2 linked regions of the Danio rerio genome follow. The protein of the gene in region 1 binds, or shares a complex with, the protein of each later gene. Links are inferred from orthologs where the notes say so. Each region holds a gene or a part of one and is shown on either strand. Other genes may lie near its edges. The genes, in order: apooa and micos13.

Region 1 (3,836 bases):
TATTATTATCATCATCATTACTTTTGTTTTTACTTTTTATTTTTTAAATTTCTTTTTTTTTTACTTTCATTATTAATATTATTATTATTATTATTACTTTTGTATTTAGTGTTTTATTTTTAATAATTTCATCAAATAATTTTAAAAACTTTCATTAATATTTTTTATTAAATTTAAAAACAAATATGCCATGACAACATTTAATCTAATATTAATATTTAATTTTAGCAGAACATCAATTAACAAAAACAATAGAGGCTTTAATCTGGACGCACCATTGCCTAACAATGTTGTGCCTCATCTGTATGTAAAGGACAGCAGATATGGGATGTAAACAGCGTTACGTAACAGCGTTCAACCCTTGTCCCCCACATGAACATCATCTGACCTCCAGTTTCTCCTGCCTTTGTAATGTTCGCAGTTAAACTCAGTGGGCCTTGAAGGTCCTCAAAATGGCAGCATGAGTAGTTTGAGTATGCAATTCAAGTCTATTTATTTGTACAGCGCTTTTCACATTCATTATAATTCCAATGCAGATTTACAAGTCCACATTATTACATTACTCTTCAAATCAGAAAGGTGTTGAGTAAGTTAGTGATAAATAATAACAATTATTAGCTACACAATAATTAAATTTGCTGTTTGTTATTTTCAAACCACTTATTTAAAATGAGCCAAAACAGCTAAATTTTTAAGGGGGATGTTTTACCTTAGTGCTCAAACTTAATTCCTTCTTGTTGGCCCAACACAAATCTATTTTATTTTGTGGAACCCAGCAACTTTTAGTTTAATCTACTTAATTTCTCCCCATTGGGATATTTGATTTGCAGCATACACCGACAGAGACATTTGAATATTTCATAATAGGCATTTATATAAATAGATCAATTTTCAAACTAAGGCACCACTAATCGAAATAAACATCCAGTCCACTGACCATTAAGAGGAAGAATTAAAAGTGTAAATGCTTCAGGGATCAGTTATAATTTCCACCTTTTCCTTACACATCTGGGGACACAATATCATTGACCAGATGGTAACAGTTTGAAGGTGTAAACAATTACATTGGTGTGCGTTCACGTTTACTCTGAAAAAATGATTCATTGGATTTATTAAGTTTGTTTAAGGTTGCAAACAATCTATATGGGCTGAATTGTTTGCAACCACTTACCTTAAAAAGTTGTATGTTAGTATATTAGTGTGTCATTAATATTTCGTGCTGTCCTTATAGTGTGTAAATGTGTGTGTCTATATGGTATTGACTAGGAAAGCCATGTTGACAGTGAGCACAGACTCTGATAAAGAGGTTATTTTTCTGTCTGACCGGTTTGTTGGTGCTCTCTTCTGATAGGCTGGAGGAGTCGCTGGAGCCTCTGGAACTCTGGGATTGTTTTCAGCCTCAGTGCTGGCGGCGTCCGCTGATGACAAGCCCAAAACAACACTCAGTGTAGAGGAGGTAAAGCCTGAAAATCAGCTGTGAAGAAACTAACATGAGTACACAGTCAGAAATAAGGGGACAAATCTGTCAGGGGGTGAAACCTTTTCAGAAGGTACACTTTTGCACGCTACAGGTGAACATTAGCACTTTTAGGGTGTACTTTTGTACCCTTAATGGTCCTGTGAAAGTTTTTTAAGATTTTAGGTTAAGTCTGTTAGTTTTAAGGATATCTATTAGCTAGTATGCTACAAAACAGTGACAAGATACACATTTAGAAGATGTAAAGCTGATATAATAGGGGTGTAACGATTTATCGTTGTACGATTTATTGCGATGCAAAAATGTCTCAATATGCATCGTGGCGTTATGACGATTTGATTACGATATGACGTCCGTTTTCTCTTATTAGTTGAGCTGTTTGCATGTGAGCTACGTTCCACCTGCTGTCGCACGTGAGTTCAGATTGCAGCAGCAGTAATGTTAGCAGACCAAGATGAGTGAAGCTGAAATAGAGGATGGCCCATCCTCTCAAAATCAGACGTCTGGCAACATTTCGGTTGTCCAGTCATTGCTTTAGACTCGTCCGCTTTTTGACACGCATACTGGGTCAAACATCCTAAGTTTTAAAGTCTTCACAGTGATTTACATACTTTGCACAGTGACAGAGATACCTCCTAATGGTGTTGAAAGAGTCACATACTGTATTTATAAGGTACAATTCACCCTAAAATATCATTCTGTCTTCAAATAATGTTCCCGCCGCAAAATCACACATGACGTGAGCTGTTACTACAGAGGGCGGACTTTGATAGACGCGCACGTATGGCAAGCCGTTTTAGCATTTAAACCTTTGTTGTGACTATCCATAAATATATTTTGAGATATCTCTAATTATATTTTGACTAGACATAATTATAATTCGACTAGTCAGAATGACAATTAGAGATATCTGCAATTACAATTGTACTAGTACGATATCAGATTGAAGATATCTGCAAAAATATTATGACTAGTCATATTCCTCCATTGACTTCCATTGAAAAATATTTGCAGATATCTCTAAATGAGTTTTGACTAGTCACAATTGTAATTAGAGATATTTCTAAATGAATTTAATTAAATATGAATTAAATACCTGGAAATGTGGCTAATAAGTTCAATAATGGCTAGTAATGTTCAATAATATTTTAAGAAGTTTTTTAATTGTTTTATTTTCCAGGGACAGGCCTGTTTAATTTATTTTCGTAAAGAAGGTTCAGTTTAACAAGTTGAAACAAAAGAAATACATAAAAAATAGTTTACTTGGTAAAATTTGCATTTCAGTTTAATTTTAAATTTTTATTCCAAATATCGTGATACATATTGAATCATGAACATTATATCGTGATACACATCGTATCGTGAGCTGAGTGTATCGTTACACCCCTATGATATAAACATGTAAAGCTTGCAGTTTGCCACTTCCGCATTAATGGATCTTTTTTTTACCTCAGTTTCCCATCAAATCTTCTGACCAATCAAATGCTCTCTAGTATCTGATATGCCCTGTCCCCTTTGAACCACTTTTCGTGTGATGTGCTTGAGCTCAAACATAGAATAAAACATTTCAAAGCACTTCACGGTCGATGTACCGCCCCGTTGGGGTGAAGAAGGAGCTGAGCTGAAAGGCAAAGCTCTCGATTTCCCAGTCGATCTACTCTCCTACTTTCACCTATGGTCATGAGCTTTGGGTCATGACTGAAAGGACAAGATCTGGGATACAAGCGGCCGACATGAGTTTCCTTCACAGGGTGGCAGGGTGGCACCCTTATGGACAGGGTGAGGAGCTTTGACACCTGGGAGGAGCTCAGACTAGAGCCGCTGCTCCTCCACAGTGAGAGAAGTCAGCTGAAGTGGCTCATGCATCTGTTTCAGATGCCTCCTGGACGCCTACCTAGGCAGGTGTTCCAGGCATGTCCCACCGGGAGGAGGCCTCGGGGGAGACCCAGGACATGCTGGAGGGACTATGTCTCTTGGCTGGCCTGGGAACATCTCGGGTTCCCCCCGGAGGAAATATCTGGGGTTCCTTCCAAGACTGCTGCCCCCGCAACCCAGCCCCGGAAAAGCAGTTGAAAATGTATGAATGAATTAATTCACGGGAGTATTAATATATCCCTTTAAGGACCTGTCAGGAACAGAACTGTTCCTTTTAATAAGGTATCGCCCAGGGACAGACCTCTCTTTCTGGGTCTATAAAAATATATCTTGTAAGTTGTTTTTTTAATTGATTTGTAATAATTATTATTATTATTTATTTTATGTAAGTATTTTTTCACTAAACCTGTCCGGGGTAAGTTATGGGTTATGGGGTTTGATTTACTGTAAAACTCAAAGACATGTTATACAAAATGAGTAAAAG
Region 2 (3,936 bases), on another chromosome or scaffold:
AAAACCGTGATATTTTATCCAAAGTTATGCCTAATTCTATGTTTTCTGTGGATGTTGATGTCAAACTCCAACAGTATTGCAGATTTATAACATTTTAAATGCTTGCTGTTTTATAGACCTGTCGCCTGGGGTTTGAGGATCGAATTAAAATAATTTTAAGAGAAAAAAAGTACTTTAAGAAATAATGTGAACACGTAATGTTAACACGTAGATAAATACATTTATTACACTCTCAGAAATAAAGGTATGCATGCTGTCACTGGGGTGGTACCTTTTCAAAAGGTACAGATTCTAACTTAAAGGCTCCATATTGGTACCTAAAAAGATTATATTATATTAGGAACACTTTTGTACTTTTTAGTAATGTGTACCCTTAAGGTATTAATATATACATTTAAGCACAAATTTGTACCTTTTGAAAAGGTACCACCCCAGTGACAGCCTTTGGAGGCCTACCTTCTGAGAGTGTAGATAGGCTATATTAGTTTTTTGGGTCCACAAATCTTTCCACAAGCTTTCCCACCACTTTGTAGCATAGACTACTTTCTAAATAGCTGTAAAGACATATCACTTATCAATTTACAGACAATAGAATACATTTTACAGCACGTAGATAAACATAAAGGCTGTTAAACTCACCCTCATTAAATGATGGAGCACTCCATCGGACCGCAATGAACGCGACGCATATGCTGCAAAGCAGTAATTTGGCATAAAGCTTCATTTGAAGGAATATGGCAAATCTGTGCACAGCTTACAAAATGCACAACTTTGTAAAGTCAGCAGTCGACACCAAGAGAACAGGCAGAACAGGTTTTTAAATCTAAGTTCAGACAGGCGGAGCTAGTGCCAAAGTACAATCCGGCTTTAGATAACTTGGCAGCTAGCACTTAATGCATTTTGTAACTTCTGTTAATATTGTGTTGTAATAATCAGTCATTCTTGTTTTATTTGCATTATAACGTTAATATTGTGGTTGGGTTTATAAATTCGGAACGACCTGACAGACTATGAAATACAAACCGAAAGTAAGGATAAAAACATAATTATTATTCACTTAGGCTTACTTTTTACTTTTTTAAACTTACTTTTATTATCGTTGGCGACTCTGCTAAAGATTCTTTTTTAATTAATATTACACATACAATCTAAAAAAACGTGATTTTAAAATTAGTCAATCGATCTGAGCCACAGGAAAAACGTGGCGGCACTTTCACCAAATATATAAAACCGAATTGTCTTTTAAAGTAACACCCTTCTACTTTTAATGCTTATATATATAGAATATTCATATGTTCAAAAATACTCAAACATATAATTATTACGTTTTATATGTTCGTCGTTCGTTTTGTCGAATGTGCAGATCTACAGCTGGATTCAAAACGAACTTTATTGCTACCATTTCGGTTTGCTAGAGCAAATGCCCTTGTCGGTGAAACTCGCTGACAAAATAGTAAAACAAAGCATCCTGTGAAGTGTTTTGATACGAAATATTGTTCTTTAGAGCATAATTTTGCTTTTAAAATATGGCTGCTAAGATTTTCCCTGTCGTCAAGTAAGTGTTTATGTGTTGTTTTTGTATCTGAAGCTGGTTGCTAACTAAGTTAGCACACAAGTGTCTGTTTGGGTTTAAGTGTTTTTTTTATACTTTATACATTATTATACTTTATATAATTATATTATATATATATATCTGTATTTACATTAAAATTAAATTACCTCGTATTTTAGTTGCTATTTTTACCTATAATGTCGTTTAAATATAGCTAGCATGCTAATTACTCAATTCAGCAATAACTTTGACAGTAAAAATGTTAAATCCTGTTTTGTATTAGAGTTAATCATATATATTTTAAGTAATCATCATATATTTGGGGTCATAATAACCTGAGAAGCTTGTAAACATGCTCTCTTTCCTTCAGCTTTAACGTACTTTGAATGGCTGTATTTGTGATGAAGGTAAAGTTGTTTCCAGTCAAATAAATAGTGCTAATGTTGTTTTCGAGTCATACTTGCATATGATTTCAGACAGAACCTTCAAAATAATAGAGGTAAAGTTGGTTTTATATTTAGACATTCTCCTCGATAATATAATTATCTTTGCAAATTTTAAATGGGGAAATCATACTAGCAGAATTAGGATATCTTGCGTCCAAAAAAAAAAAAAAAAGTTAAGAAAACGGCCGTTTTTCGGTGTTTCTTTTGATTACAAAAAAACATGATTTTAATAATAACTTTTAATCATTTTATATATATATATATATATATATATATATATATATATATATATATATATGTATATGTATGTGTGTGTGTGTATATAAATAATAACTATACTATTTATATAATTACAAAGTTTACATATTCTGTCATTTGATCAGTTATGAGGCTTACATTCATTGCGTATGCATAAATTAAATAAAAACGTAAATTAGCAGTATTATTAGACTTTTGTCAATAAAATAAGGTCATAGTTCGCTGCCAAACATTGTTGCTGTGCACGCTGTCAAGCTGTGCACCTGATGCTGAGCAAAGATAGCCATTTCCGAGTAGCACCTGGTTTGCATGATTGTTTCCGAGCAAGGCCTTGACAGTAATAATAATAATAATGTTATTATTAATAATAATTTATGTTTATAGTTCACTGCCAAACTTATTGCTGCTGTACACCTGATGCTGAGCAAAGATATACATCTGTGAGCAGCACCTGGTTTCCATGATTGTTTCAGAGCTACTGTAGGCTTAAATAATATAATTATTATTGTTATTATTAATAATAATCATTTTAGCACGTGATGCCCACAGAGAGCACTATGCCAAATTAAGTTCTGTTTAACCTATTTCTGCTTAAATTGTAGAAAATCTTTAAAACGACATGACTAATCAAGACTTTTATTTGGAGAATTACACTTATTAATAACTTGGTTCTTATAAACGATCATTTTATAAAATACATTATTTACAGATCTACTGAAGAATAAGACGAATGACATCAATAACTATAATATATTAAGATTTTATATAAACTATAAATAAGAACATTTAAAGTAATAGAACATTATCTGTAAAACAAATCTAAACTGTTATATAGGCTACAGGCTAAATAAAGGCACCTTGTCAGAGATTTACATCGTGTGCGTTAAAGAGGCAATGAATGTAAGCCTGATAACTGATCAAATGACAGAATATGTAAACTTAGTTTATATAATTATATACATATAACTAAATATTAATAATTCAAAGCCTGGGTATTGTCCTCAGAGGGCTCTTATTTTGGGGGCTACGTCACAAGCTCAGATTTGGTTGACCAATCAGAGGAAAATGGACATTTTAGCACCGCCTACATGAGAATAATGAATTTTAATTGTTTTTTTTTTTTTTTAGTTAAAAAATGGATATGGATTTAATTTAGCAGCCAATGATTATCAAAGTACAGCATTGTTTACAGTAAATTTGATGGTGCTAATGTTGTTTTGAAGTCATACTTCCATGCTAATTCTGACCTAATATTCAAATTAGCATGGAAAGCAATAGAAACAGTTAAATAAAGGAATGTGCAAATATAAAACCAACTTTACCTCATTGTATTTGTGTTTCTTTATGTTTTAGGTTTGCAACAAAAGTGACCATTGCGGGAGGAGCCCTGTATGTGGCATATGATTCAGGACTTCTTGGAGGTAGTAATGAGGGATCTGTGGCCTTGGCCCGAGCTAAATCAGCCATACCACCTGCTGTGGATGAGTGGATGAAGTACTTTGGCTTCGAGGTATGAAAAGAAATGAAACTAAGTGTATGATTGATAACGAAAGTAGAACTTGACTTTTTGATGAAGTGTAAGGCTACAGTATATGGCAGATGGCAGCACTGACATTATTGAATAAAAAGAGAGATAGCGGGGAAGTCTTTTGGGTAATTAAATAGTCTTGATGCACAGAA

The links.
Region 2: apooa (region 1) and micos13 share a complex: the UniProt entries of both Homo sapiens proteins name them as parts of the mitochondrial contact site and cristae organizing system (MICOS) complex. The link is inferred for Danio rerio from reciprocal best matches to the Homo sapiens genes APOO and MICOS13.

What each region holds. Positions count from the first base shown.
Region 1 is NC_133180.1:4,980,490-4,984,325, reverse strand, and holds part of apooa (apolipoprotein O, a), read left to right. Parts: intron 1-1,324; exon of another isoform or gene 1,325-1,351; coding exon 1,352-1,456; exon of another isoform or gene 1,457-1,463; intron 1,464-3,836. UniProt on the Homo sapiens protein: Component of the MICOS complex, a large protein complex of the mitochondrial inner membrane that plays crucial roles in the maintenance of crista junctions, inner membrane architecture, and formation of contact sites to the outer membrane.
Region 2 is NC_133197.1:19,398,721-19,402,656, reverse strand, and holds the start of micos13 (MICOS complex subunit MIC13), read left to right. Parts: upstream 1-1,379; 5' UTR 1,380-1,526; coding exon 1,527-1,555; intron 1,556-3,609; coding exon 3,610-3,766; intron 3,767-3,936. Other genes in the region: hsd11b1la (hydroxysteroid 11-beta-dehydrogenase 1-like protein precursor), read right to left, coding at 640-724. UniProt on the Homo sapiens protein: Component of the MICOS complex, a large protein complex of the mitochondrial inner membrane that plays crucial roles in the maintenance of crista junctions, inner membrane architecture, and formation of contact sites to the outer membrane.